2 linked regions of the Danio rerio genome follow. The protein of the gene in region 2 purifies or fractionates together with the protein of the main gene of each other region. This does not show direct contact. Links are inferred from orthologs where the notes say so. Each region holds a gene or a part of one and is shown on either strand. Other genes may lie near its edges. The genes, in order: exosc10 and exosc2.

Region 1 (16,502 bases), on a different chromosome or scaffold from region 2:
CTAATGGGCTATATGCACTCAGACTTTTAATTTTCAGCCAGGCAGCCCAAGGGCTTCTAGTGAACTGTCTTTCCTTTAATAAATTGTCACATCTAAGATCTGATTTCTTTAAAAATCAGCAATCTTCACTGCCTGTTAAAAATGCGATATGAAATGGGTCTCAGATTGGACAAGAGGCACTGCATTAAAGGGTCACGAAACAACAAAACATTTTTTTGAGCTGTTGACAGTCGTATATGTGTCCCACACTACTAAAAACACTATTAGGACAAATATTTCACTAAAAAGTGAAAATAGGTTGTTTTAGCGTTATTTCGAGCAAATTCGTTCTTCCAGTTTGAAACCAATTTTTGAAGCCGTGTCACGGCTATGAGATTTTAGCGTGTATTCCAGCGTGTAGACTGGACGTCTGTACCTGAGAGTGCCTTATTACGTCTCGGAGTGTGCTGCATTCATTCATGAGTAAGACTTGGTTTAAACCAATCAGCGCGCTCTATTGTGTATGCGGTGCAACCTCAGTAATATGCATGGTAGCTTTGAAGACTGTTTGTACCTGTACAGTGTTCAGACGGCAGAGAGACGCCACGTTGTGTTGCCAAGTGGGAGAACAAGAAATGTTTGGATACGAGTCATCAGTATTGTGTTTATAATTTGCTGCAGTGAAGGTTTTGTTTTTATTTTCCCTCTATGAGAGCGCAGCTGGACTCACGTGTGGATTACAGTGCACACAAAGCGCAACAGAAATACGCGTCTAAGGAACATTGTTTACAGTGTGAACAGTGTTTAAAGACAGACCTTAGTCAAATGATTTCTAAGTTAATAAAGTTTACCGTACGCTAATATCACTACAATACTATGGACTGAAAAATCTGCTGTAAATGCTGCTCTCCGAGTGTAAACATGTAAGAACCACAATCAAACTTACAGTCGTGTAGGATTTTCGCCGCATTTTGTGACAGGAATAACACACACGGCTTTCTGACGCTACCTGCCAAGTGCATCTAAGTTACTGAGAAATGTGGAGGATTTTTTCTCTCATTCGCAGTGCGGTATCAAACATTGCATGAAAAATACACGCTTTCAGCAATTCCTCGAATCAAATATCTGGTTTATCACTAGGGGCATGAATGAAACTCCTGAATGAAAGTGCCAAACTGCAGTTAAAGTCCACCATTTAATAATTTGGAAAATAATTCAATTACTGACATCCATGTAACCACAGTCACTGTCTTTCTGCCTTGCATCTGTGTGTTTGTTTTGCCTCAGTGTAAATCAGCGCAATTTTTCTAAAGTAGAGGTGTGAAAACACCCTGCTGAAACAAGGGGGTTTCATGGCCCTTTAAATTCCATTTCCCTTGCCATGTTTTATTTACCCCAGCATTTTCAATGGAATTTCTGCTACTAGCGTGTTGCTACTGACTGCGCTAGTGGTTATAATGATTTTTCATCTTGTTTTACGCTTAAATAACCAAATGAATGCTTAAGTCTATTTAACAGTATGTATTGTAATTACGTTACAACATCCATGCTGTAAAAGGAACCTTGTAAAATTGAAAAGTCACATTGAAATTTCACCGGAAGTTTATCGTTGGCTTTAAAGCTCTAGCTGTGCATAGGGCCTAAACTAAATTTTGCAGGCCACCGGTCCTCCAGGACTGAGTTCTAGCAGATGTTAAATTCTTCATATTCACCAAAAATCAGCCCACAAATACAAATGATCGTGCTGTAGGTGCTGGTTTCCTTGCACACTTACATGAGGGCAGAGGTTTGACTGCGTTGGGTTTGATGAAGATTTTACTGAGAAACGGAGTGTTGCTGTTGTCCACTTTATCTCTGAACTTGAGCTGTGGCCGCTGTATGTTTTTGGCAGCTAGAAGTTGAAAGGTCTGGGCTCGGCTACCTCCACCCTGCAAGGAAAATAAAATCTCAATGTCTAGTCAAACTGCAGCTATTATTATATTAATAAATTATTATTGTATTATAGAACATTATTCAACCCAAGGCATTGAAACAATCTGCAAATACAGGATTTTCGGAAGATCTTTTTGTTAGATTTCCAACAGTTTAGTGGCACATTACAAGTGATAAAGTCACTACGTAATACAATCCTTTTGAGAAACATGTTTTTTTTTTTTTTTTTTTTTTTACAAAAATGTCAGAATTATTCATCAATGCGGTTTTTAATTATTGTTGATCAAAATATTTTAAACAAAAAGTACTTGTACAAATATAATCCTTTATATAAAATGCCAAAAACAGATAAGTGGTGATGTAAAAAAAAAATGTGCAGGAAAACTAACCTTGCGATTCCAGCTAGACACAATGATTTTGGGTGGTTGATATCCTGCAGGCATCACTGGCTGCTGGGAGCGACTTACACCGGAGGCCTCATCCAGGAGAATCCCCTGCACAAACAAAGCAATAGGCAGAGTCATATATGTGGTGTGAACTTTTTTACGCAATTTCAAAGGATAATCAAATAGGGATGCTCCAAGAGGTTGGCCGGAGATCAGTATTGGCCGATTATCACATTTTATGAATCGATCGGTACTCGCCAATCTGACCGATCTCATGAACCGATCGATCGTGTTTGTTTAGTTTACACACAGAGGAAGACACACGCGCACTCGTCAGCAGTGCTGTAACACGTGAAGAGGTAAACGATGCATGTGGGTGTGAGTAATCACTGTGCTCATGCCACAACAGCTTAAATATAAAATTTATACAAACTATTGGCACGACTTGTGCGAGTGATATGTCTCTTTGTTGCAAGTGCAACCATTGTATGTCCAGCGTTTAAAGGTTCAGGACACCCCGGAGAACTTTTTTTTTTATATTAACAGATGTGTGTGTGTTGAGCATCAGTTAAGACAATGTTAGCACCTGTCAGCTTTAATTGTGGGAAAAACTGGATAATTTTGAGCTTTTGTCAGCTAATTTCAGCTTCCGGGTTTAAAATGATTTTTGGGGCGGGATCAAAATCGGCGACGTAGCGCAGTGATGATGACGCGTGCAAGTGCAATGATGACGCGTCGGTTTCTCATTATTAATCATAGCAGAGTTTTCTTATCCTATGAGAAGAGCCGACTGCTTAATTATTCTTGAGACCTGCCAGACCTGCCAGTGTCAAGCCCGAGCTGAGAGACACGGAAACCACGGCACAGTATTGAGCCGTTCATGAAGGCTCGTATGTGTTTGTTTCCATGATCCACTGGGTTTGTTGTATGTTTTCCCCCGCGATCTTGTCAGGGCCGATCATACAGCAAAGCTGTGTGTGTGCTGCTAGCATTTTTGTCGGGAGAGCAGCACGAGAATTAGAGAATGGCGGACGCTGTCTTTTATCAGGAGTTTGTTCACATTCAGACACATCGCCGTACAGCTGTGTTTGCCTAAATCCTCCAGATTACCAGCAGGGTTAATGGTTAAAATAGACAGGTCAGGAGACCTGCTGCACTGAGTCTGCTGGATACGGAGATTGAGGGAGAAGTCCTCATTTATAGTGTTTACATAAACACACATCTTTATAATGATATAAATTGTGGTTGTCTGTATATGAAATTACGAATAACAAATGTAGCAGGGCATTAAATCACTGTTCATTTCTTTGCATTTTAACTTTGTAAACTATAAACTGCAAATCATGGTGACAAAAGTGAATGAGCAATGAACAGACTGTGATAGTGTGAACATCACACAGTAATGTTCTAAGCATTATATTTGATAGGTTAAATGAATAGTGCAGTAAAGAAAATCCCTGCTCTCTCTTAGAGCTGCTGTGAGAGTGTCCTGAGCTCTGATCGTTGAGCTCCTATCAAGGAGATATTTTAATGGGCTTGCAGGTATTTATGCCTTTTACTTACAAAGACTGAAAGTTCTGTGTTTTTGATAATATTGCAAGTTCACCAAAAAGACTAGCTGGAAATATTAATGAAATAAATATTTTTACTCATTTTTTAATAATACAACTTTTCCTAATATAGGCCTAGTTATTGCAATAAACAGTAGTTTATAGGCCTACTTCCTTTAAGTAAATAAGTAATGTACTAATAGGTGTGAAGCTCAAACTCTTATCCATCAAATAAAGCCCATACACCAAACTTTTTCTTCATTGAAACATGTTGAATTCTTCTTCTGTCATTAGCAGTGTTTTTAAATAGCTTTTTCAGTCACTTCTAACCAATTTGTTTTACATGTTTTATTTATTATTTTCTGTAAACCTGTGTCTGACCATTACATGCCCAAACTAAATGGTAATGAGAGATATGGGATTATATGCAACATCCTTAATATTTTCTCTTAGGAAAGGAGACGTCTGCACTTAAGTATCATACTTAGAGGGAAAATGTGCTTTATGCACTATAAAGCTTGAAGCATCAGAATCGGTACTCGGTATCGGCCGATCACCATGACAAGGAATCAGTACTGAGTATCAGCTGCAAAAATCCTGATATGAGCATCACTAATTTCAAATGTAAACACAACAGCAGGGTTCCTATAAAAACGATTTATAGATAAATACATGGATAGATAAGAAAATAATTTAAGAATTATTTTAATCTGAATATCATTTTAAGTTTTAACAGGCATTATAAGAACAATCAATAATTTAGTATAATTCAAATATTAAAACAAATTTGCTCTCTCTCCCACATATGATAGCCTAACAAATTCCTGAGGTCTACTTCTGACAAAGTTTTTGAAGTTGTCATTTGAAACCAAATCTCTTACAATGTATATTGTCCCAACATGTTAGCCTTAGTTAAATGACTGGGAGTTGATGAGAGTAACTATAGATGTGAATATGGTACAGAAAAGTTGCATTTTGCTGAATGGAAACTAAAATTTAAAGCAATAACACAATAATCACTGATATTCCAGGAGATTAACAAAAATATATGAGCATTCCCTGACTTTCAGTGTCTGGAATAAACCTTCTCATTCTCAGCATTAACAGACATGCCAACAGGAAGCACTGAACCAGAACTTCAGCGATGTGTGCGTGTCAGTGAGAGACTCGTACCACTTTCTCCAGGATGGCATCATTTGCGTCCACCACCAGGTCAAAGCGGTCCTCCAGTCCAGTCAGTTTGTTCCGGTCTCTCATGTGGGATCTACAGCCATGGTGCTGCATTATCTGGCTCATACTGTCAGGAAAAAAAAAAGAAAAAGAAAAAAAAGAAAATTGCTTTGTCAGTCTCCAGTGAAGTAAACTTTACTGACACTGACATGATAAGCTTTATGCAGTATGCTGTGGCATATATATTTAAGAATACCTAGTAGTAGGGCTGCACAATATTGGAAAAATCTGACATTGCAATATATATAGAATTTTTTTTTTTTTTTTTTTTTTTTGCAATATTTACTATTCATATATACTATCAATGAATATAATTTTACCAGATGAATAGAATAGCTAGATTTGGAAAGATTTCATTCATTTAGATAGATTGAGATGATCAAGTCTGTTTCTGTCCAGTGCGTTTGCATAAATCATAATAAATTACAAGCATATATAAATACAGCAGAGCAAAGAGAAAAGGTGAATAGTGCTTAAAGGTTTTCTTATTCAGGTATAGAAATTTAACAATCAAACATAAAATAACATCGTCATCATTATAAAAATGATTTAAAAATTCTAATAAATATAATAAACAAAAATATATTTAATAATAATATCTTAATCTTTAATAATTTATTCAGATGCTGCTGTATCTATTGTGGATACACACATTGTAATATCAACGCTCAAACTATATATTGTCCACTGTCCAAGAACTCCTAAGTTCATATATAATACTAATAGTAATAATATTAAATATTATAACTAGTAGTAGTTTCCATTCAGTAAAATTCTAGTATATTTTAATAGCAGTTTTACATTTTACCAAAAGCTTTATGTAATTAAATTATTTTCTTATCAAAACTGTAACTATTAATGCATGCATGTTTAGAATTTACTGTCAAAACACGTTTACATGATGTTTGTACAAAAGGCCCTAAGATCACTTGTAAAATAATATTACCATTGCTGTAGTATTTATTTTACTAGTGTGGAAATTAATATTCTAACACCAATAATAGTCATCATCATCACCTTTGTATTATTATTATTATTACTATTATTAGCTTACTGCATTTCTCTGTTCATCTTTTACTAATTCTTATCATTTATACATATCATAACTACTTGAGTAATCTTAATGGCATCTGTAAACATTAAAAATACAATACATTTTACAATATTTATATAAAAAAACGTTAATTATGAAAAAAAATAGTAGGTTTATTTTATTGAATATTTAGTAATTGGCTAGTAGTATGATATACATGGTATTATACAATGCATGCATGTTCATGTTTTTTTTTTAATCGTAATAAATCAAACAAATGTTCACTTACAAAAAGCATTATTTGCTGGCTATCTCTGATTATGGTGTCATAGTGTTAACGACATTCTTTGAAGCATCTATTAGATGTTATAAAGCATCAAGGTAAATTTGATTTTATGCTTGCACATTCATTCATTTTTGAACACTTGTGACACGTTCCCTATATGTTTTAACATGGTACTTTCAATATTCGCTCTGAAATCACATGCAAGTATGACTTCAAAACAACATTAGAAACATTTAATTGACTGTGGACGATGTTGTACTTTAATATTCTTTGGCTACTAATATGATTTCCCCTATTAAGAATTTACAAGAAATACTTTTCTGAAGATATATTATTACGGAGAAAGTGCGATGTGCAAATATAAAAGCAACTTTACCTCAACCTGCAGCAGCATGTTTATCACGAGTGCGTAATGTTCCAATGTTTATTTTGCCCACAATGTGCTTGTAAATGGTGTTTCAGTGTTTGTAAACAATTCAGTGTTTATAATGAGTCTTTCGGTATTTGTTTATTGAGTGTTTTACCAGTGTAAGAGTCGGTCTCCTTGTGAGGCGCAGAACTGCTGGAAGGAGGAGAAACTGCGGTACAGATCAAACTCATCTCCCGCTGATGGAAGAGCAGCAGAGGCTTTGGTGGCGGACACCACCGCTCCAAGACCATGCTGAACACACACAAAAACAAACCTGCTTCAGCAACTACAATCATTACACGACAACATACGTGCATTTAATGATCGAAAAACACTCCGTGTCCACACATGTCTCTCTCAATCTCTCCACGCTGCGGTGTATTCACAGATAATGACAGCGCTGACACACATTCAAACAAACTACAAACCTTGACAAATGTGTCGACGTCTTTAAAGCCCGGACAAAACTCAGTTTCTGCCTCTGTTTCCTCTGCTGATGGAGAATGGTCGCTCTGTTTGGCCACGGCAGCGCTGCTCGAGGAGGCCGCCATGTTGAAAACATTAAATCGCGAAAGTGCAGCCGCACGAGAAAATCTTTTTCTTCTTTGGCAAAGCGTGTGTGGACGACCATGACAGCTGATATCGCCACCTGAAGGACACAATGAATACACTGAATATACTGTCGTTCAAAACACTATAAGCTTGGCGACATCTGCTGGTAAGAATTGCGAAACTGCAACGACACATTAGACCAAACATGTATAATACCACTGTTCACAAAATATTTTCTTTAAAGTGCAGTTTATTAATTACAAACTGATAATTAAATCTAATTAAACGTAGCCTGCCTTTATGTTAATTAATGTCGCCTGAAGCACTCTGTTAAATGCACTAATTTTCTTACACTAGCTTTTTATGTTTCTAAGTGCCATAAAATAGGGGATTTAACACGCAGTTAGCTATTTTTACACCAAGTTCAAAACAAAAACAATGATTTAATAAATAAATCCGCAAATATATAAATAAATGAGTAAATAATCCCTAAATTCCAGCATAAATAATTTTCTTTTTTTGGCCTAGTCTCTTAATTAATCTGGGGTCGCCACAGCAGAATGTTTTACGCAGCGGATGCCCTTCCAGCTGCTACCCATCACTGGGAAACATCCATATACTCACTCATTTACACTCATACATTTCGGACAATTTAGCTGAGGAAACCCACGTGAACACGGGGAGAACATGCAAACTCCACACAGAAACGCCAACTGAACGAGTCGAAGCTCGAACCAGCGACCTTCTTGCTGTGAGGCGATCGTGCTACACTGCACCACCGTGCAGCGCTGTAAAGAAATAAAACTTTAAATAAATAAATATGCAAATAAATAAATGTATAAAATTCACAAATTCATATATCAACAATTAGTGTGGGGCGGGCAGGTAATTAATTAAATAAAATACGAATTTTGGGGGAATAAGAAAACGCTGAACTGAAAGTTTATTTTTCTGCCCTTTCAAATGTTTATTTATTTCTTTAACAGTTGTGTATTTACTTTTCCCAATGGTCACCATTCTAATGAAAAAAAAAATCCAACATTTTTGTTTCTAACGATCAATCAATGAGGGGCGGGTATAGAGGACGACACCAAAAATATAATAATAATACACACACACACACACACACACACACACACACACACACACACACACACACACACACACACACACACACACACACACACACACACACACACACACACACACACACACACACAAATATATTATTAATATATATTTTTATTATTATTTTATATATAAATCCACAAATTCCTGCCTATATACATATTTAAAGAATTAATAGTGTGGGCAGATAAATAATTAAATTCATGTTAGGGGGAATAAGTAAATGGTAAATGCTAAACTGAAAGCTGTTTTATCTGCCCAAACAATTAATCATTTATGTATTTATTATTGCAGGAATATGTGTATATATTTATTTATTTGTTTGAGATTTATTTATTTATTTATTCATTGTCTTATCTATGAAGGAATTTATTTATTTATTTATTTATTTATTTATTTATTTATTTATTTATTTATTTATTTATTTATCTGAGTATTTATTTATTCATTGTTTAATTCATGCAGGAATTTACATATCTACTTATTTATATAAATATTTATTTCGGTATTTATTCATTTATTGTTTTATATACATAGGGATTTATTTATTTATTTATTTATTCATTCATTTGTTTGGATACTTATTTATTCATTTTTTATATATATAGGGATTTATTTATATATTTATTTGTTTGTTTGTTTGTTTTATTTGGGTATTTATTCATTTTTTTTATTTTTGCAGGAATTTATTTATTTGGGAATTTATTTATTCGTTGTTTGATTTCTGCAGGAATTTATTTATTTATTTATTTGCGTATTTATTTATTTGTTGTTTTATTTATGCAGGATTTCATAGATTTATTTACATATTTATCTATTCATATAAACTTTCAATTTATTCTAAATAATATACTTGCTTTGGGGGGGAAATTAAATTCCAGCATCCAGGCCAATAAAGCTTGTTTGTGAAATGTAGCTAATTTCACCAGAAATCTCAACATAAATTTTACACCCCCATTACGTCAAATATGTGTTCTGGAAAAGTAAACCGCATGCATACTGTCCTTTTCTTTCATGAATTTAATCCACCAATTTATTTTGGATGCATTGTTTGAAGTTTCAAAACTTAGCACAGATAACCCAGCATTGCATTTTTGTTTACACAGAATTTCCCCTTTTTTAATAGTGGTGTCTATTCCTCCATTAAAAAAATAAATAAACAAAAAATAAATTAAATAGTATTTGATCTAATTCTTTGTACATTGGATGGCATGTCTAGAGCTAGACACAGACAGAAATTCTGCTTTGGACAGTAAAAGCCCTCCCATTCAGGGATAAATCACTTTAAAGCAAGATATTCAATCTTGTCTTAGTTTGATTCATCATGGGTTGGAAATTAAGCACATTGCGTTCATTACAAAAGAAATGCTGCGCGGGCACGTCGACTTTTGCGTCATAACTATCCTGTTCGCTGATTGGTCGCTGTCAGCCATTGATACAAACAGCGCCACACACACACACGCACACACACATACATTTACATATCTATTAGCACGCCTGAAGCCACTTCATTTGTGTCAGTCTCATCACCTTCAGAGCAGGTGAATAGGCATTAAATATATTATACAGACTCACTGTAAACAACGACCTTCAGAGGCGCAGGAGAGACCAAACAGAGCCCGCGACTATCAGGTTTGGCTTAACTCTACAACTATTTGGGCTAATTGTTGACATCCACCTACTGTGCTGTTTGTGAGTGTAATAGGGTGAAGTTATGCCGTGTCATGGTGAGTGTAGAGATATGATCGTTTCATCATCATATAACGCTACCTTTAGCATCTTATACTGTTTACAGTTTCATTCAATTGCGATTCAATGAAGTCGTAAATATGTCACTTCCCCTTTCTGGGAGCGTAACGTTAGTGCAAAGTCCCAGTAAAGCTAGTAAATATTGTACACAGTATAAGGAGGTGTATGTTAATGTGTTATTTATTATATCAGAAAGATGTATGTGGGTCAAAAACCAAAATGCATTTTTACAAAGAACAATTGAAGTTTATTACAGCCATTATATATAAAATAAAGTAAATATATACACACACACACATATATATATATATATATATATATATATATATATATATATATATATATATATATATATATATATATATACAATACTACTTATACATTTTAGCATGATTCACAGAACACACCTATTAAAATATTGTTCAATGTAGAAATAGTTGAAAGTCTAAGAAAAATAGATGAATTATCTATAAAAATGTCATGAAACAATATACATTTTTCATATATTAAAGGTTTTCATTAGAAATTGCTGTACAGCCCAAAATACTCCTTATTTTTAAAATTTAAATCTCATACTTTCTTTAAAACCTTTAGCCATTTGGCATTAAGAAGTTTGTAGTGGTTTAAAATGGTATTTTGTATGATTACTTATAATGTTACAAGTTTAATTAAGTACTAGTTAGGACATTTTTTACATGAACGTATGCTTAACACTGAAAGATCATGGAATACAGTTTCCATCTAGGCATGTGCCGGTATAAGATTCTGACGGTATGATAACCTTGGCTAAAATTATCACAGTTTCATTGTATTGTGATTACTGCTCTAAAATATATTATTTTAAATGTCTGGGTAAAAAAAAAAAAAAAAAAACTTTTCTCCCTCATTGAACACAATATATTTTAATTTAAGAAACGTTTATAATATTTTGGAGCAGTAAACATGCCAGGCTAAATAATTTAAATGAATCATTAAGTTTTCATTAAGTCTTCATTAGTTTCAAAAACACTGATTTCTTTACAATTTAAAATGGCATCTTTGGAGATCTTTTCTGCTTAAAAATACTGTTATCCTAAAAAAGATATGTATAGGGTTATAAATTGACTTTTTTAATGTGATATAAGTTACAACATTGAATGTATTTGTGTTGCCTGTTTTTTCTGTGATGTGTGTAATGTGAACGCTGATGTGGTTGTGTGGTGAAGCCAAAGAAAAAATTCCACTTGTGGACGTAAAGTAAAGTAAAGTAAAGTAAAGTAAAGTAAAGTAAAGTAAAGTAAAGTAAAGTATCTTACATATACCATAGGAACGGTATTACAGAAAATGTTGGCGATTTTAAAACCTTGATTTTTTTCCAAACTGCGTTATACATTGTACATTGCCATATCGTCTTATGCCTATTTCCATCCATATTTTAACATTTTATTTTTACAAAAGTCACTTGAAATGAGAAAACTCATGAATTTCAGGCTTTCTATCTACTATACATCACGTTTTTGACATTTATACTTGTAATGTGGGTGTTAGGAAATTAGACAAGCCTGTTTTAAGTAGATGTGTATGTGTGTTTTTTGTTTTTGCATAATAACTGCACATAATAACTTAATATCTTTAATAATAACACAGGCCTTGTAAAGAAAATAAAATGTGTTTCATTTAAGTTTAATTTGATGGTGCTTCCATTACAGGAAAATAATGTACAGTTATTTTTAGCCTGCTGTATATTTCCCCAATTTCTGTTTAACGGAAAGAAAGTTTCTAAACATAATAGTTTTATTAACTAATTAGTAATAACTGATTTATTTTATATTTTCCATGATGATAATACATAATATTTTGCTGAATATTTTTCAAGATGCTAATATTCAGATTAAAGTGACATTTAAAGGCTTAACTAGGTTAATTAGGCAAACCATTGTATAACAATGGTTTGTTCTGTAGACAATTGAAATAATCTATTGCTGAAGGGAGGTAATAATATTAACCTTAAAATGTAAAAAAAAAAATTGCTTTTTATTCTAGCTGAAATAAAACAAATAAGACTTTCTCCAGAAGAAAACATATTATGGAAATACTGTGAAAAATTCCTTGTTCTGTTCAACTTCATTTGGGAAATATTTGGAAAAGAAAAAAAAAATCACAGAAGCGGTAATAATCTTGACTTGTATATGAAAATGTCTAGCTCCCTGAAAATCAGACTCCGACAAGTGAAGCATTTGCTTATAAAATGAATCAAATGTGTTTTATTCTGACTGCAGATTTAGTACTATGTCTGTCAAACTGGAGGACACCCTGAAAGATGAAAACCTGATCAAACGTTTAGAGGAGATAGCAAAAGACACGGCGCTGTTACATGGAGTGTTGATGCGGACCAAAGACACGCCAAACTCTCCTGAAGTAAGAGAACGTCTTTATCTACTTAGAAATATAATAAAGAAATGCATGTTTACTTGTGGTAAAATGTATGCAAAATATTTATTATGTTTATTGGTAAAAACTTATTATTATTATTATTATTATTATTATTATTATTATTATTATTATTATTATTATTATTATTATTATTATTTATAATGCTGAACCATGATTAATAAATGCTGTTCAAGTATTGTTCATTTAGAATTCATGTTAACTAACCACAAAACCTTAATGCAAAGCATGACAATTCATTGTTTAATGTGTGATATTATAACGTGTATTATTGTATTAAATGTATTATTATTTTCTGATGTATAGTACTTTTTGTTTATCTGCATAGGTTTTGAGCTAAATTTGTGGTTTTCATTTTATCTTAATACAAATAAAGCTTTCCCTTGTAGCATTTCAGAGCTAAAATGTCTAGTCCAGACTCATAGGTGGCAATTATTTTGTGAGTGTTTTGACTGAAGCACTGAGCGACATCTTGTCCCAGTCATGTCTGGAATTCTGTGTGTCCTCTGGCCGTTTTTGTTTCTGGATTATGGAGTGTTAGTTCTGCTTCATCGAGTGGACACTGTCAGAAACCTCTCGCTCAATCAGAAGTGACTGAATGGCTCTGGTGCTGTAGATGCATATTATAGTGTACACAAGATACATTTTTATTAATGTTTCAAATTGTCATTACCATTGAAAGCATGATTGGTTATTATGAAGCATGATCATTTTGTTCAGTGATATTAAATTTTCATATTATTATATCTCTAGTGCACTCAATTAAATCTGTGTTTGTGTTTGAAGTTTCTGAAAAAAGTTTGAGAGTTACACTAGTGTAACAACAGTTATAATGGGTTGATCTCTGCCAACAAACTTTTCCTTTTGTTTTGGAAGAAAAAATAATTTCCAACGCTTAAATTATGGCTGACAGAGTTAACGGGTGCATTTCATCTGGAAAAAAATCGGTATACCCCTATTGACAAGATTTTTTATTTGAAAAAAAAAAAAATAATTGGTCCCCTTTTTATTTCCTTTCTACAAACTTGTGAATAATATGTTCACTATGCCTTTAGTACCTACTTTTACCTTTGCAGAGCACTGGTGGTTGGTTGGTTGGTTGGGGGAATGCATGTTTATTTTATTGTTTAATTATTTGTATGACTGTTGGTTGTTTTTTTTTTTGTCTTATTGTTAAAATGTAAGGTTTATGTTTGTATATAAATATATGTAATATATATAATATATATATTTACAAGTAAATGTTTGCTAAAATTTCTTATAATAAAAATATTTAAACCATAAATCTGTATTTTTTGATAGGTGGTGAGTTATGCACCATTCACATTGTTTCCCACATCGGTGCCAGCAGCACTCTTTCATCAGGCACTGGCAGTGCAGACACAGTTTAACCGCTTGGTGGACCGGGTCAGCCAGAATCACAGTTTTTTAGAGGACACACTGGCCAGGTATAGTACGATTGCTCTGCTGCAGGTCGTCCCAAACTGAGGTTTCAGAGGCTGCACTCTTAGACCTTAACCATTTTTTTTTTACTGTGGAATACCGCCAACACTGTTGCCAGTTAGTCACTGTAATGGTCTGGTTGCAGTGAGCAGCCGGTTAAATACTGTACCCAAACCATAACTTTATTTGGCATTAACTCCACTGTGATATACACTCACCAGCCACTTTAACCTTACATGTTCATTGTCAGCAATAATACTCGGGTAGGCTGTGGCATTGACATGACACTCAATTGGTACTAATGGGCCCAAAGTGTGCCAAGAAAATATCCCCCACACCATTACACCACCACAAGCAGCCTGAACTGTTAATACAAGGCAAGACGGATCCATGCTTTTATGTTTCATGTTGCTTTTATGACGCTAAATTCTGACTCTACCATCTGAATATCGCAGCAGAAATGGAGACTCATCGGACCAGGCAACGTTTTTCCAATCTCCTATTGTCCAATTTTGATGAGCCAGCGCAAATTGTAGCCTCAGTTTCCTGTTTTTAGCTGACAAGAGTGTCAACCGGTGTGGTCTTCTGCTGCTGTAGCCCATCCGCCTCAAGGTTGGACGTGTTGTGTGTTCAGAGATGCTTTTTTTCATACCTTGGTTGTAACAAGTGTTTATTTGAGTTACTGTTGCATTTCTATCAGCTCAAACCAGTCTGGCCATTCTCCTCAGACCTCTGGCATCAACAAGGCATTTGCGCCCACAGAATTGCCGCTAACTGAATATTTTCTTTTTTTTCGGACCATTCTCTGTAAACCCTAGAGATGGTTGTGTGTAAAAATCCCAGTACTGTAGCTGAGCAGTTTCTGAAATGCTCAGACCAGCTCGCCTGGCACCAACAACCATGCCAGGTTCAAAGTAATTTTAATCAAATTTTGTCCCTATTCTGATGCTTGGTTTGAACTGCAGCAGATCATCTTGACCATGTCTACATGCCTAAATGCATTGAGTTGCTACCATGTGATTGGCTGATTAGAAAGTTGTGTTACAAGCAGTTGGACAGGTGTACCTAATAAAGTGGCCGGTGAGTGTAAATGTAATTGTTTTTATCGCTGTAAGTTATAATTTAAAAGTTATTGTGAATTAGTTAATATGATTTAAAGTAATGTTTTCTGTTAATGTTGAAATGTTATGAAAAATATTATGAAATGCAACTTTAATGTATTATAGTTTGATATTTTCCTTCGGCACACGGCTTTCAAAGATATTTGGTTTTTGGCTCCTCATACGAAAAAAATTGTGCATCCCTGTAATGGAGGCTTTACTGTTAGTAATAATGTTGCTGTATTAAGTATCTTTTTTTTATTACTTCAAAAGCACCATCAAAGTTGACGATTTTACAGCCAGACTTTTCAACATCTACAAACAAGTTCAGCAGGAGGGCCATGCTCAGGTATACCGGTAATTGTTTACCACTCATTTGCTGATTCATTTAAAGAGATAGTTCACCCAAAAATCAACAAACCCACTTTTTACTCATCCTCAAATGCTTTCAAACATTGACAAGTTTCTTTTTTCTGCTGAACACAAAAGAAGATACTGTGAAGAATGTTAGAAACTGGTAATCATTGACATCCAGCAGGAAAAACAAATACCATGGAAGTCAATGTTTACTAGTTTCCGGCATTTTTTTCTAAATATTTTCTTTTGTGTTAAACTGAATAAAAAAAAAAACAGGTTTGTGAATGATGAGTAGAATTTTGTTTTGTTTTGTGTAAATCAAATCCCTTTAAATTTCACGTAAAAAAGTTACATCACTGTTTAAATTCATAAAAAAAGAAAAGTAATCAATTTGTTATATAGATGTAAATCTTAATTTATTTAACTCCTCTTTCATTCAAGAAAATAGTAGTGGGTCTGAATCGCTCAGACTACATGTTAGACCACAGTCCAGACGGTCGAACATCTCTGAAGCAGATTGAAATCAACACTATTGCTGCGAGTTTTGGTGGTCTTGCTTCACGAACACCAGATGTCCATCGGTAAGTCTGACCATACATTTTAAGTGGACCTATTATGCAAAAAAAAAATCACTTTTATGAGTTGTTTAAACACAGTTGTGTGGCAACAATGTACTGCTATATCTGCTGTCTAATGGTAAAAAGTAATTAATTCTATTGTTGTAATCACACTTCATAAAAAACAATGTGATTCTCCCTTTGTACGTGTCATCAGACGGGGAAAACCCCACCCATTAGTGTCCCCACTCCATTAATCTCTTCCTTGTTGGCATAGACACCCCTGAGTGAGAAGCGGCCGTTAAGTTTTCAACCCCTACCTGCTGAAGATAATGCCAGCGACAAAGAGGCATTATAAATGTGGAGTTTTAGAATGCACAA
Region 2 (16,497 bases):
TCTTCTTCAAATATTCCCCAAATGATGTTGAACAGATTCAGGAATTGTTCACAGTGTTTCCTCTAATATTTGTTCTTTTGGAGAAAGTCTGATTAGTTTTATTTCAGCAAGAATGAAAGCGGTTTAAACCCGTTTTAAGGTCAACATTTTTAACCCCCTTCAGCAAAATTAGTGTTGGATTGTCAAAGATCCAGATCAAACCACTGTTATTTAATGACTTGCCTAATTACCCTAACTTTACCCTAATTAAGCCTTTAAATGTCACTTTAAGCTGCATACCAGTGTCTTGAAGAACATCTAGTCTAATTTTATGAGCTATGAGATAAGAGAAATCAGTTATTAGAGACGAGTTCTTAAATATATCACTTAAAAATCTGTTAAAGAGCACTTGGGGAAATATTTGAAAAATAATTAAAATAATAATAATTGTCTTCAATTGTGTATTTGGCTGGCAATTAAAAAAGGAATATAAAATGCTGAATACAACATCTGGAATTACGAAAGCTTTCATTTAAATTTAGAGCATTTGTCATTATTTTATAACGAAAGGCAGCAGATATATAATCAGTAAACAGTATATATTTGGTCCAGAACTCTCAGTCATCTGCAGTTCACTTTAATACCAAGGCACTGTAATCATGGGTTAATCATCATTAATCATAAACACACTCTGATGTTTACATAGATTCCTCAATGCATACTAATGTAAAACATTCTGAATCCTTTAATACACACTGTAAGTGCTCATACATTAATAATCACATTATATATCTATTGTCATACAATCTCATGTTTTAGTAACAAAATAGTAAAGAATTTAAAATGTAGAGTGTTTATTTGGCTAGCACACATAGTTAGTCTTGAGGTTAATAATTAACCTTCTGTAAAGCAGTTTATTTAGATAATATTTAAATATAAATTATCTGCTCTGGAGAAACTGTCTCACTCTGACTGGCTGAAATATGCTTAGCCACACCCCTTCAACTATCAGTTAGCTCCAAGTGAAATATGAGAGGCGGGGCTTATAAATAAAACTCCGCCCCTACTTAATATTCAGTTTTAGTTGGAAATGTCAACATACTGAAACAAAAATCTGCAGCAACTCACGACTCACACTTACTGATAATATGCAAATGAAAGGCTTACAATGCAGAAAAATGCTTCCGATTTTGAGTTTCTGTCTTGTTTCTAGTCCAAAATATCAATATAATTATTGAACCAAGAAGCATTTTCTAGACCAGCAAGCAATATAGTCTTGTTTTCAGAAATAATGAGTCAAAATGAAGAGAGATTATCCTTAAAACAAGCGAAGTATTAGCAATTATTTATATATATATATATATATATAATAGCAATTACTTGACTCCTGTACGAGAGACTCCTGTTCTGTCTCTGTGTGTGTTTTAGGAGTCTATTCTGTGTGTGTGTGAGAAAGTCTCCTATTGTGTGTGTTTGTCTGAGAGACTCCTTTTCTGTGTGTGAGTGTGTTTACGTGTCAGCGATCTACAGGTCATAGTAGTCCAGGTGTTCTCCGGAGCTGTACTTGTCCTCCAGCAGCACGCTCATCAGCTTCTGAATGGACTGATCGCAGGTCAGCAGCTGCCCGTTGGCATGCATCTGGCTGAAGGTGTTTCTCAGCTCAGAGTCTGCGCAGCTGCTCCGCGCCTCACGCTGCATATCTGTGTCTAGAGGACCTGCGGGAGTCACAGAGAAGATACACACAAACACTAGCTTTAGTTAGATTGTTGTTGTTTTCCAATACAATAAATCTGTTAATCTACAATTTGTAGTGGTGCTCAATCAATTTTGGTGGTTGCTCCTAATTTTTTGAAGTTGAGAATGCCAATGCTACCAAGTTAAAAAATTCCTTTCAAGCCATGTCAGAGTAAGCACACACACACACACACACACACACACACACACACACATCAGCTGAAGGCCTGAACGCCTCTGAGCATCAATCCCATGACGCGTGAAAGATCATGAGCTCAATAAATCACTTTCATAGTTGAATTTCTTCTCAAATCACCTCCAGTTTAGTTCATGTTTACCCTGATCAGAGCTGATAGCCAGAAAATAGTTTTATATTGATTATTTTAGCCATAAGTAGGGAGTAAAGTTCACATTAAAGCCTTCAGAGTCTCAATGCAAGTCTACAGTGTATATTCAATGTCTGATTATTCAGCTTTTTCACACTTTTAAATTTCTAATGATACATTTAAGTTAGTTTGCATTCATAATTAATAATATATCACCTTTAAGACCTCATTTGCATAGCAGACCTTGATCACTACTTAAAAAATGAACAAGCAAGTGTGACACGAAGATCACTGAAGGATGTGATAAATCTACAGAACATAATCTACAGAACATTCATTCATTCATTTTCTTGTCGGCTTAGTCCCTTTATTAATCTGGGGTTGCCACAGCGGAATGAACCGCCAACTTATCCAGCAAGTTTTTACGCAGCAGATGCCCTTCCAGCCGCAACCCATCACTGGAAAACATCCACACACACATTCACTACAGACAATTTAGCCTACCCAATTCACCTGTACCGCATGTGTTTGGACTGTGGGGGAAACCGGAGAACCCGGAGGAAACCCACGCAAACGCAGGGAGAACATGCAAACTCCACACGGAAACGCCAACTGACCCAGCCGAAGCTCAAATCAGCTACCTTCTTGCTTTGAGGCAACAGCACTACCTACTGCGCCACCCCCTTATTGAGTCATTTTGCTGAAAATATCAAGTTTTCTACGAAACAAGAATGAAATGATGGTGAAAACAGGAAAGTAAAATAATAAATTACTCTATTACAAATGTTCTTTTAAAACAGTTCATAAAGCCACATGCGAATTACATTCATTAATTTACCGTTACAATTTGGCATTAAATAAATTTACTAAAACATGCTTGGCTAAACAGACACCCAATTTTAACAAACCACTATAAATCAAATCAGAAAAGGCTGTATTACAATTTTATTTGAATGCAAAAACCTGACAAATGTCTAAAATGCAACACCTGAACTGTAGATTCAGCAACTGTACACAATAATGCTCTCTGTTCCTCTGAATTATTAAAAAATAATGTATAATATATTCCCTACTGAACGTGTTATAACTATTTTTGAATGATTTTACACACGTCTGCTTTAGGGAACTTCCAGAGCAAATGATCATATCAGATAATCAGGTCATAAAATAAAATGTTCCTTATCTGATTGAGCAGTGAGATTTCGATCATGCTCTACTTTTATCTGCCAGCCAGGAAAATAATCACGCCTGGTATTTTAATATGCCATTGGTATCACAAGAAGATCCAAGACAAATCCTTCTTTTAGTCCACCAGATGTGGTTTGGTTCTCCTGATTATTTCATGACCGCACCATCACATTGTTTACATGGTGCTTTAAAACGTAATGGCAAAAATCAGTTTTGAGATTTAAAATACAATAGTGATACATTGCTCACGGTTATTACTGAAAGCTCTGGTGTGTTCACATTCAGTTCAGTTCTATTGGTTTCTTTAGTCTGGACTAAATAAATGCCAAATGCATCCTGGCTTGCTTAACACTGACTTACCTGCAAGCTCAAACCTAATTGTGTGCTGCTGTGAGCTGGGGTGAATGTACTCATTGTGCAAGTGCATGACACCATTATTATCAGTTATGGCTTAATAAACTGTGCATAATGAGTGCCTGTGTAATGTGTGCTTTTATTAATGTTCTGGTCTTGTTTTGGAAGTGGCCATCTGCTGTATTGAAAAACTGTTACTATGATGAAAATGAAGCAGGGCTCTCATTTATAAAACTGCATAGAAACGAATGCACATCGGAATGAACCGACAACTATTCCAGCATGTTTTACACAGCGGATGCCCTTTCAACCGCAACCCAGTACTGGGAAACACCCATACACACGCTGTCAGTTTAGTCATCAGTTCCCCTATAGCGCATGTGTTTGGACTGTGGGGAAAACCGGAGCACCCGGAAGAAACCCACGCCAACACGGGGAGAACATGCAAACTCCACACAGAAACTGACCCAGCCGAGACTCAAACCAGCAACCTTCTTGCTGTGATGCCACAGTGCAAAACCACTGAGCAAAACCCTCAGTTCCTGCTAAAAATGCAGAAATAACGCTGAGAGAAGTGTAGTGCAGTAATCCACATAACAATAGGTGGACGAAAACACAGCTAATATTCTCACCATGATGCTCATTATGTACCTGGAGCGTAGTTCAGCACTCGGAGCTCCGGCTCCTCCTCTGCGAGGACGCGGAACATCATGTCGCGTGCCGCCTTGCCGCTGCAGTACTGAACCCAGGTGGGGAAAGGCCGGAGTGCACACAGCGAGCTGATGTTCACGATGACGCGGGTCAGCCCGGAGCGCTTCGGGTATGTGCGGAGGACTCCCGCCGTCAGACAGAGGGCGGAGCTTACATTCAGCGACAGGTATGAGTTCAGCTCTTCCATATTGGTGAAATCACGACAGTAACGAGACACATCACCGAGAGAAGCTGCAGGACACACAGCAGCAGAATATCAATCGCTTATACAAAGTCAAGAGGACAGATAAAGCAGTGTTTCCCAAACCTGTTCCTAGAGGCACACCACCAACAGTGCATATTGTCAACGTCTGCCTTATTCTGATGAGCTGATTCAGGTGTGTTTGATTAGGACGAGGTATAAAATGTGAACTGTTTGTGTGCCTTCAGGAACAGAGTTGGGAAACACGGAGTTAGAGAACAGAAAAGTTATGGAGTAAAAGTTCCAGCAGTTCCAGCGTTATGGATGTGACATTTGCAGTAAAATCTCAAAACATAAATCGACAGAGGAAGTATATGTTAACATTATATTGAAACATATGTTTATATTTTTCAAAACAACATGGCCAGAGTTGTGGGAGCAGAAAAATACCAATTTTATATTTTAAATTAGGGAAATATACATGCGTTATGGATGTGACAAAAAAAGTCCAAGTTTGCAGTATACAACATACTTTGTAGAAATTCTGTGAATTAAACTGCAATCAAAAGGATAAGAGTTGGCTCACTATAGAACAACCATGATTGATTTTATTTGGTTTTAGATTTTTGCATTTATGAGGAAAAAGCTTTGTTATGGATGTGACATCTCTCCATTATGGATGTGACGGATGAGCAATGTGACTTTGGTAAATCAAATATAATAGTTTGAAAACACAGACAATTACATTTTTGAGTATTTTTAAAGCACTGTAAAATACAAACACACACACACAAAAAACGCAGAAACAGGTTTACTCTTTTGGCAAAATATATAAAGAAATATATTTAGATGTATATATAAATATATATATGGAAGAGATCTTAGTCCAGCACTTATAAAACTCAAGCACTTTAGGAACATTTGTTGTCCTTCCTTGTGCAAGGTTTAAGTTATTTCATCACGGGGTAACATTTAACTTTACAGAGATGTTACGTTTCCTCACACCAAGTAATGATTTCAAAACAATCTCTATACAACACTAAATGTATCCACAGACATAAACAACCGAAACAATCACATCAACAAACCATTGAGATAACAAAGGATATATTATACATTGAATGCTTACCACTGAACTGAGGTTTAGACATGCCTTTCTCTTTGGTCTGTAGACAAGCGGTTTCACGTTACGTTAGGCTCACCTTATGTCAGGTATTCAATAATAAAAAATAAATTTTACGTTACATGGAATTATTCGATAACAAGACGAGAAAGTATAGCTATAGTGAGTCAGGCCGTTACAAAACGACGGTTGATTTTTAAATGAAGGTTTTGACCGTTAGAATTTAGGCGCGCAGAACAGAAATTCAAATAAATGTGAGGTTTTGATGCCATCTAACGTTCCTCATTATTACTGAGTAAATCATTTATGACTATTTTAATATTTAACTAATTATTCCACATCTTGATTAATTTAAAATTTTCATAAATGCTGTATTTACAAATTTAGTTCTGTAATTCTGCAAAATATAGCTCATGAATTACATGAAAACAAACATCAAACATACAAAACAAATCAAATCATAAAGGTTATGTATGTTTTTTTTTTTGTTTTTTTTTTTTACGTGTCCCCTCTTGAAGTTCTGGGAAAGTTGTTTTATGGTTGGAAAAAAAGTTAAATCTAAAAAGAATTCGCAAAACGTTATCTTTGGCTTTAAAAAACTAACGTTAACAGGAATCAAAATCTAACGTTAAGGGAACGTTGAGTGTTCTCTGACCGGCGTTATGGAAGAGCAGCAGGTGCTGGATGTCCGGCTGGATATCTCTGGTCTCGGCAATGAGTTTTTCCACTCCTGCTTCACAGCCCAAATCCACCGGGACGCAGCGGACGGTGAGGCCGGTCTCCCCGCGGGTCAGCGCGCTCTTCAGCTCCAGCAGCTGCTCCTCCGACCGAGCCGCGAGCACCAGTACTGAGCCCGGAGATACACGTGCCGCCACCGACAGAGCCAGAGCTCGGCCGAAGCCCCGGGATGCCCCGGTGATGATGACCAGTGCTTTCCCGAATCCCGAAGCCGTGCTCATGATTCCCCAAGGACTGACGAGAAGAGCTGCCGAAGAACCGGAGAGTTCAGCATCGATTAGTCACGCCTCCGGAAGACACGAGAGACCCCGCCCACTTTATGGTTTATTAATAAAATAATAAACTGTGAAATAGAAAATTTATGACTCCAGGAATACACAAAAGAGTAAATATAAAACAAAACAATAGACAAATGAGTGAAAATAACAAACAATACTGTAAATGGGGTTAAAAGAATGCTAAAAACATCAAGAAATAATTAAAGAATCAGAACAGTGATAAATATATATACAATAAATCTATACAAATTTATATTAATAAATATATACAAATTTAAACAATTTACTAGATACAGTAAATATCTAGGCCACGAGATCAATTCACACAATAAAACAATACATAAAAGATATTTAGGTGTATGAAAATGTGTAAATAGTAACAAATATAATAATAAATATAATAATAATAATAATAATAATAAACATAATAATACATGATTATTTATATAATCTCATTCTTTTAAGAACCTGTGTTTACACAATAAAAGAATAACAAAAATAAATGTAGAAAGCAAATTGGTTCTGAAAAGTATAAAATTATTTTGTTAGAGCATATAATGTTAACTTAATGTTTTAATGTATTAAAGTTTTGCTATATTGTCATTTAAAATGTTAAATATAAAAAGTCTCTTAATTCTCGTTACAAAATAAAACCTCACACATTGTATAACACGAACTTAAATCGTTATTTAATGACCAAATTCAGATGATTAGATGCTCAAACCGAACACGAACACAGTCGGGCTTTTATTATGAAGTGGAGCCGTGCTCGCCGCCATATTGCCCGGCTATAGTGTTGTTGAAGCATGGCGGTGGAGATGCGGCTTCCAGCGGTTCACAAACACGTTTCCCTGAAAACAGGACAGAGTTCCCGCGAAGACAAACACCTGGTTGTGCCTGGAGATGTGATCACCTCCGACACGGGCTTCATGAGGTACACAGACATTAATAACTGGTATTAACTGAGCTGTTGTAGAATAAATGTGTGTGTGTGTGTGTGTGTGTGTGTGTGTGTGTGTGTGTGTGTGTGTGTGTGTGTGTGTGTGTGTGTGTGTGTGTGTGTGTGTGTGTGTGTGTGTGTGTGTGTGTGTGTGTGTGTGTGTGTGTGTGTGTGTGTGTGTGTGTGTGTGTGTGTGTGTGTGTGTGTGGAGTGAACTCGTTGAGACCTGCAGTCTGTCAGTCTGTAGCGGACTTGATTGAGAACTCAAGTTAGTGTATGTAGTGTATTTGTTCAGTGTTGGAGAAAGTTACTTTACTGACAGACTCTTCTGGAAAGTAACTAGTTGCGTTACTTTTTACGGTGACGCGTTACGTTACTTTTAAAATACATTATTTACATGTGTATTGATTGAGGTAAAGTTGGTTTGTATTTGCACGTTCGTTCATTTTTGAACGGTGATAACTTGTGACACGTTGCCTGTATTGTACTTTGAGTATTCGGTCTGAAATCGCATGTAGTTTGACTTAAAAACAACATCAGCACTATTTAATTGACTGTAAACAATGTTGTACTCTGATAGTCATTGGCTGCTGATATGAGTTCATTATTAAAATTTGTAAAGATTACTTTTTTGAAACTGTATTATTAAGAAGAAAGTCTGAATGTGCCAATATAAAACCCACTTTACCTCAATTGTGGATTGCTGTAGCAAAGTAATGCTTCACAACTCTGAAAAATCAGTCATCAGATATAAATACTAGAAAGATTTTAAATGATATATTATTTGATAAAAGTGCTCTATGTTTAGACTGTAATATTATGCTTTAAAAATGCAACCGCAAACATTCCCACAGGTTGTAGGGTTAAGGATTAAAACTTGTTTAAATGGCCTTTCCAGCGATTATATAGTTTGTCATGATTAGATTAGTATTTAAATGCAGTATAGTGAATTAAACTTAATCGTCCTGCCACTGAGACGTTGATTGTTAATGGGTTAAAACAGAACCTCTAATGTGCCAGTAAAACATTTCAATAGCATTGACTAACAAAGTCACCAAAACAGAACTTCACAGTCTGCATAAGAAGTCCATGCTTTATAAACGTCAGGGACTAGTATCATAGAGTTGTAATGATAGGATAAAGTCTGCATGAGAGCGATTATGCATTATGGATGTGACATTTTAACAGTGCTGTAAAATACAAGCCTACTCAAAACACCGGGAAAGGGTTTGGTGTTTTTGTGAAGAATGTATTTGTTTATTTTATGGCAAGGTTGACATTTGCATGGAATTGCTCAAAATCTAAAAGGTCCAAGACAAGTCTAATATTATTACTGATGTGTCTAGCTCTTACAAAGCCGGACTGTGTCTCCACAATCAGCTGACTGATTCTTTATCTTTAATCTGTTAGGAAATATCAAAAATAAATTTATCGTCAACAGTGATGAGCGTGATGGACACCAATTATCGGTTTGGGAACACCTCGTTTCATTGATGATGTCTTGTCTTGTCTATTAGATCAATGCATTCATTATACATCCAAAGCAAAGGGTTTTTAATTAATTTGTGGAAAGAGCATACCAATCTTGACGGATAATCCATCATTGCTGGGAGATTTACCTTTCTTCATGGACGATTCGAACTTTCTCCAAGGTCAAATTGGAATCAGAGTATATTAAATTCAGAACTGGATCATGCGTTTCCATTTTATTTACAAAAACAATCCTTACATTATCTGTCAAAAGCAGAAGTGTAAATGTTTTACTAAAAATCTGTAACAAAATTAACTATTAATTAATTTCCGAGTGCCCCAACTTTCTCTTTTTGCGTGCACTCTTGCGTGTCTATATCTGAAATAATAAACCTGAGCTCATGGTGAGAACTTGTGTGTGATTATTAAAGTATTTTTCACATCCATTTAGAAATGGCCAAACATGAAAGTCAAGCTTAAACAGCAATGTTAATATGGCTTAATAAATGTTTTATAGCAGTCTAGGAATAGAATCATAGCTTGTGATGTTTATAGTCTGCATAATCGAAAAGGTCTAAAAAACTGTAATATTATTACTGATGTGTCTAGCTCCTACAAAGCCGGACTGTGTTTCAGCAATCAGCTGAAATCTTTAATCTGTTAGCAAATATCAAGGCTAAAATTTTATTGTCAATAGTGATGAGCGTGATTGCACGCTAATTATCTAAATTTTAGATCAATGCATTCATTATACATCCAAAGCAAAGGCTTTAATTAATTAGTAGAAAGAGCATATAAATGTGCCGGTCAATCCATCATCGCTGGGGTGAAACAAGAGCCCTTTAAATTTTGCTTTACTGTCTTATTGAATGTGAAATTCCAATTGTGCGAAGATAAAAACCGTTTTCATCTGACTTCACCTCGTCCTCAGGGGTCACGGCACCTACATGGATGAAGACAGACTCACCGCTTCAGTGGCAGGACAGGTGGAGCGAGTCAACAAACTCATCTGTGTGAAACCGCTGAAGACCAGGTGCACACTGACTTACACTAACGCCACAGCACAGGTCTCAAACTAAATTCCTGGAGGGCCGCAGCTCTGCACAATGTGCCCCAACCCTGATCAACTGTGTTTGATTGGCTTGGAGCAAAACTGTGCAGAGCTGCGGCCCTCCAGGAGTTAGAGACCTGTGCACTACAGTATAGCACACTGCACTTCACTAATGTATAATGCTGTGGTAATACTGTGTTCTAGATGTGATGTTCTCCTCCTGCAGGTATAACGGAGAGGTGGGTGATGTGGTTGTGGGCAGAATCACTGAGGTCAGTGGTGTTCAGTAGTTTATGTATAAAATCTCTCGTTGTTGTTGTTGATGATGATGATGATGATGATGATGATGATGATGATGATGTGCATCTCTAAATGTTAAGGTGCAGCAGAAGCGATGGAAAGTGGAGACTAACTCGCGTCTGGATTCAGTGCTGCTGCTGTCGGCGGTCAATCTGCCTGGAGGAGAGCTGGTGAGCTGGCAACACGCATTCAAGGGGCAGTTCACACACAACTCAGTTACAATACTTTAATGAATGCTCCCGCACTCTCTACCATTAACTATAGTGGACTGATAAATACCCCGCAGTTGGCTTGTTTGTTTATATTATTATAGTTGTTGTGTTACCATAGCAACTGTAGAATTACCACATCAGAGCAATTACTATTGTGGTTGTGTTACCATAGCAACTGTAGAATGGCCACAACAGATCAATTACTATAGTTGTTGTGTTACCATAGCAACTGTAGAATCACCACAACAGATCAATTACTGTAGTTGTTTTGTTACCATAGCAACTGTAAAATCACCACAACAGAACAATTACTTTTGTGTTTGTGTTACCATAGCAACTGTAGAATCACCACAACAGATCAATTACTATTGAGGTTGTGCTACCATAGCAACTGTAGAATGGCCACAACAGATCAATGACTATTGTGGTTGTGTTACCATAGCAACTGTAGAATCAGCACAAAAGATCAATTACTATAGTTGTTGTGTTACCATAGCAACTGTAGAATCACCACAACAGATCAATCACTATTGTGGTGTTACCATAGCAACTGTAGAATCACCACAATAGATCAATTACTGTAGTTGTTTTGTTATTATAGCAACTGTAGAATCACCACAACAGATCAATTACTATTGTGTGTGTGTGTGTGTGTGTTTTTTTCTCAGAGACGTCGTTCCACGCAGGATGAGCTGGCCATGAGGGATTATCTGCAGGAAGGAGATCTCATCAGTGTATCCTCCACATTTACCGCATCAGACATTCATCATCCCTGGATATACAAACAGTGTTCTTACTGTAAAAATACAGTCATTTAAAATAGGTATCAGCATTGAAAGAAAGCTGAAATATATAATAAAAATGTTAGCTTTCTTTCAATGCTAATACCTATTATAAATGACTGTAAAATATGACCTTTTTTATTAGTGCTTGTTTAATAAATACATTTATATTTGAGTTTTGGAAATAAAAAGTCATTAATATTAGCACTTATTTGTCTAATTTAGCATGAATCATTTTTCCAGCCTTATTTATTTTTGTTAGTAAACCTATAACTAGGCATTACCTGGGAAAAATAAAATATAATATTTGCAAAATAGATCAAATGTCACAGGAGGCTAATAATTCTGTCTTCATCTGTATATATTCTACTGTATTCTTTAACGTGTGTAAGGCGGAGGTTCAGTCGATCTTCTCGGACGGCGCTCTCTCTCTGCACACGCGCAGTCTGAAGTACGGCAAGGTGAGCGTGTAGAGCCTTATATACTGTGCTGAGTCCCCCAGATTTCTCTGTTACAGTAATCCTCTCTCCAGAGCGCTCTACTGTCCTCTCTCAGTGCAGACACCGTAGATCAGTCAGAACCAGTCAAACCCATCTAACAACACTGAAGAGCTGCTGGTCTGGGTTGTTTTTCAGCTGGGTCAGGGTGTGCTGGTGTATGTGTCTCCGTCGCTGGTGAAGAGGCAGAAGACACACTTCCACAATCTGCCCTGCGGAGCGTCGCTGATCCTGGGGAACAATGGATACGTGTGGCTGAGTCCCACACCGGCACTGCAGGAGGAGCAGGCCGGAGGATTCTACACCAGCATGGAGGTGTGTGTGTGTGTGAGAGAGAGAGAGAGAGAGAGAGAGAGAGAGAGAGAAAGAAAGAGAGAGAGAGAGAGAGATTAGCATTGTGTGTGTGGGATTGATTGTGGGAATGGATGTGCGTGTGTGCGCGCGCGCGTGTGTGTGTGTGTGCGCGCGCGTGTGTGTGTGTGTGTGTGTGCGCGCGTGTGTGTGTGTGCATGCATGCATATGCGTGAGTGTATGCATGCATGCTTGTGTAGGTAAGTGGGCGTGTGTGTTTGGGATAGTGTGTGTGTGGGATTAGCATTGTGTGTGTGTGTGTGTGTGTGTTTGGGATAGGGTGTGTGTGTGGGATTGATTGTGGGAATGGATGTGCATGTGTGTGTGTGTGTGCGCGCGCGCGCGCGTGCTTGTGCTTGTGCTTGTGCTTGTGCTTGTGCTTGTGCGTGTGCGTGTGCGTGTGCGTGTGCGTGTGCGTGTGCGTGTGCGTGTGCGTGTGTGTGTGTGTGTGTGTGTGTGTGTGTGTGTGTGTGTGTGCGCGCGCGTGCATATACGTGAGTGTATGCATGCATGCATGCATGTGTGGGTAAGTGGGTGTGTGTGTGTTTGGGATAGTGTGTGTGTGAATGATTGGGTGTGTGTGTCTGTACTGGTTTTGGTGGTTTACAGGGACAGAAATGTGTATAATGTTGTGTGTGATCTAAATATAACAACTTGTGCGCGTGTGTGTGTGTGTGTGTGTGTTTGTGTGTGCGTGCGCGCAGCCTGTGTCTCTGTCGGATCGTGAGGTGGTCTCTAGGCTCAGGAACTGTCTCCTGGCTCTGGCCAATCAGAAGGTGCTGCTGTTCGACACCAGTGTGCTGTACTGCTATGAGGCGTCACTGCAACACCAGGTCTCAACACACGTCTGTCTGTCTGTCTGTCTGTCGCTTTGACTGTCTGACAGTCTGTCTGTCTCTAAGCGTGTGTGTGCAGCTCTTCATTCTCAGTATCTTTGCTGTTCTCCAGATTAAAGACATCCTGAAGCCGGAGATCATGGAGGAGATTGTTCTGGAAACACGGCAGCGTCTGATGGAGCATGAAGGCTGAAACACCGCTCTATATATAATGCATATAACACACACCACATTATTCATATTTTGTAATAAATTTGTTATAACACCCAAAGCGTGTGTGTGCGTGTGCGTGTGTGTGTGTGTGTGTGTGTGTGTGTGTGTGTGTGTGTGTGTGTGTGTGTGTGTGTGTGTGTGTGTGTGTGTGTGTGTTGATCATTCTCTCAACCTGAAGAGTGCTGGAGAAACACACATTGACTTTCATCGTCTTTATTCCTGCTATTGAAGGCAGCGGCAGCATTCTTCAGAGTATCTTATTTTGTATTCGACAGAAGAAACCCATAGGTGTTTAGAAGCAGAGCAAATGAGGATTAGGGTGGAACGGTGGCTCAGTGGTGTCGCACTGTGTGCTCACAGCAAGAAGGTCTCTGGTTTGAGTCTCGGCTGGGTCAGTTGGTGTTTCTGTGTGGAGTTTGCATGTTCTCCCCGTGTTGGTGAGGGTTTCCTCCGGGTGCTCCGGTTTCCCCCACAGTCCAAACACATGCGCTATAGGGGAACTGATCAACTACACTGGCTGTAGTGTATGAGTGTGTGTGTGTGAATGAGTGTGTATGGGTGTTTCCCAGCCCTGGGTTGCAACTGAAAGGGCATCCGCTGTGTAAAACACATGCTGGAATAGTTGGTGATTCATTTCACTATGGCGACCTCTGATATATAAGGGACTAAGATGAATTAAAATGAAAGTAGATCTCTATTTCTGTGTGAACTGACCCCTTAAGTGTGTTTCTGACGCTGCTCTGTGTGTTTATTCCACCAGGGGGCTTCAGTGATCACACAACTACAACTATAGAGCAACGCTTCTGCAACCTTCAGCAGTAATGCACTTATTATAAAGAGCAGATTTATTTAATTGCTGTAAATTATAACCGTATAATTATGTATTTATGTGCTGACATTATGATGTGCTTTAATCAATGATGGTTGTTTTTAAATGTGCTATGTAAATACAATCGAATTTAATATAGTTGTATAATAATATATACTAATAGAATAAATATTATTGATATTTAAGACAGTAAAACTCAACGCTGTTGCATCAAATTAAAGCTATTTTGGAGTTTGTTGAAGTATTTTTGTATTAATAGATTATTGAAATAAATATCAATCAGGTATAATTTAGTATGATTCAGAATGATGTTATATTAATATATAATATTATTTAATAATATTGTTGAATTAGAGAATCATAAGTCATATACACTTTAAGTTTGAAGTCTTTAATTAGGAATGTTAAAGAGAGCATTAATCTTACAGTTTTGTATAATATATGTTTTCTGCGTACAGGAACCGCAGCGTTTTTATTTTTAACTGTTTATTATTATTTATTCATATTAGAGACAACAACAATAGGTAAACACTTCTTACAAGGCGTTCACATCAAAACAAAATACAAGTTTTCGCTTGTTGGCGGAAGAGCGCGGCGCGTGACGTCACGGGCGCAGCTCGCGTGCGCGAACATGGCGGTTCCTGCGACGACGAACGACGCGAAGAAAAGTGCTGGAAGTTATGAAATATTACTAAAACATGACGAGAACCAGCATTAAAACACTGCGGGGGAACCGAGCGGGTGTCCGGTGAGCAGAAGAGCCCGACAGCGGAGACACGCGGCGGGTAGAGGAGCGTTTAAATCCGCCTCAGAGAGAGAGAAGTGCACGCGGAAGTGACGAGACTTTACCAACTAACCAGAACTCAACACCACAGCCAAAGGCAAGAGTTAAATCTGCACAGAAGAGCCTGGAGGGCTTCAGTGAGATCCACACACTTTATTCATGACTTTAATGAGCATCAGGAGATACAAACACGGTCTCATCTGCTTACTGAATGACACCACGATCACACCAAACGCGTTTACTGCACTCCCAGACTCTTCCAGTGGCTAATAATTATCATAATAACTCTAATAATGATGATCATTGAGAGTTTCACGCACACCAGAGCGTCTGAGTTCATCACTGACCCCTCTGATGTGCTGATATCTTCTCCTTTGAGAGTTTGATGTTGACGTGACGTCAGAATGATTGACAGCTCGTCAGCAGTGATGTTCATGCATTAATGCTGACTCTGTGAATGAGGATGACTCCTTCATACATCCCACAGTGCCTTAGAAACACTTCTAACCTCTAGAAGGCGGGGATCTGATCTGCGGTCAGGCTGGCACATGCATGACTGGCACAGGGGAGTGTGTGTTTTCAGGCTCCTCCAGCTGATCTCCTGCGCTGTGTGTTCTTATGGGGCAGCAGCCAGGAAAGTTAGTGGGTGAGCAGAGGAGACCGAGCCTGCCGGCACTGCCCTTCATCAAGGCCGCGGGGAGGAGAGAGACGCCCCGGCACGGAGCACCGCACTGCAATGTGTTCACGGTCCACGGTCAGTGCCAGATCCAGCACACCACATTCACTCATCACTCAAGGGGGCAGTTCACTCACGAATGATCAGTAGGGAACATTTAGGATCAGGGGGAGGCCAAGCCAGCCTGAGATCCCCGAGGCTCTGCAGTGGTTGTGGAAATTATAAATTGAACCAAAGCAATTATAATTGGGTTAAGATTGGCTATGACAATTCTGGAAAACCAGCAGAGCCTTGGAATTAATAATACAATTAATAACATTGAGGCCTTGATCACACTGAATGCACTTTTAATGGTGCGAGGTGCCTTTTTTGAATGGTTATAAATTGGTTGTGAGTGTTTGTGCACTGCTTAGGGGCCGTTCACACAGAATGCATTTTCTTTCTGTATAGTGCACTACTATACTATTGTTTTTCAATGTAAACACACGCTTGACGTACGTGTCTGACTGCTACGTTGCATCTTTTGAAGCATCTCGTTTTTTTAAACGCCATGTCTGGTTGAGAGGTCTTCGACTTTCACACACAGCACAGTCAGTTCCACAGCAGTGGACCAATCAGAAGAGTGCTTGGGTGTTGCAAGCTTCAGTTTATAGTAGAAAGTTGGCATGATAACTCTTATTTAGCTTTATGGCAGAGGAGGCGCTCATTCTGGCTGTGTCCAGATTAGGCATGGGACGATATCCGTGTTCAATGTGTACCGTGGTTTTGAAAAGTCAGGGTTTTAAATTCGTCAAAATTTAAAAGATAAATATTTTAAAGATTTTTTATTTACATTTTTTTTTAGGACAACAGTATCTCCAGCAGTAAAGATCTCCAAAGACACTGTTTTAAATAGTAAAGAAATCAGTGCTTTTGAAACTAATGAAGACAGCAGAAGTCAATAA

What was found.
Region 1: the proteins of exosc2 (region 2) and exosc10 fractionate together in Homo sapiens (co-fractionation; 9 studies listed by BioGRID and IntAct, with this or other methods). This does not show direct contact. The link is inferred for Danio rerio from reciprocal best matches to the Homo sapiens genes EXOSC2 and EXOSC10.

What each region holds. Positions count from the first base shown.
Region 1 is NC_133198.1:16,304,616-16,321,117, reverse strand, and holds the start of exosc10 (exosome complex component 10), read right to left. Parts: upstream 7,419-16,502; 5' UTR 7,357-7,418; coding exon 7,234-7,356; intron 7,058-7,233; coding exon 6,921-7,057; intron 5,145-6,920; coding exon 5,021-5,144; intron 2,406-5,020; coding exon 2,301-2,405; intron 1,908-2,300; coding exon 1,754-1,907; intron 1-1,753. UniProt on the Homo sapiens protein: Catalytic component of the RNA exosome complex which has 3'->5' exoribonuclease activity and participates in a multitude of cellular RNA processing and degradation events.
Region 2 is NC_133180.1:78,498,737-78,515,233, forward strand, and holds exosc2 (exosome complex component RRP4), read left to right. Parts: upstream 1-7,352; 5' UTR 7,353-7,418; coding exon 7,419-7,546; intron 7,547-9,953; coding exon 9,954-10,055; intron 10,056-10,299; coding exon 10,300-10,345; intron 10,346-10,453; coding exon 10,454-10,543; intron 10,544-11,253; coding exon 11,254-11,319; intron 11,320-11,759; coding exon 11,760-11,828; intron 11,829-12,002; coding exon 12,003-12,179; intron 12,180-12,919; coding exon 12,920-13,048; intron 13,049-13,163; coding exon 13,164-13,244; 3' UTR 13,245-13,319; downstream 13,320-16,497. Other genes in the region: spra (sepiapterin reductase a), read right to left, coding at 1,504-1,694, 4,233-4,523, 6,252-6,555; tyrosine-protein kinase ABL1, read left to right, coding at 15,496-15,631. UniProt on the Homo sapiens protein: Non-catalytic component of the RNA exosome complex which has 3'->5' exoribonuclease activity and participates in a multitude of cellular RNA processing and degradation events.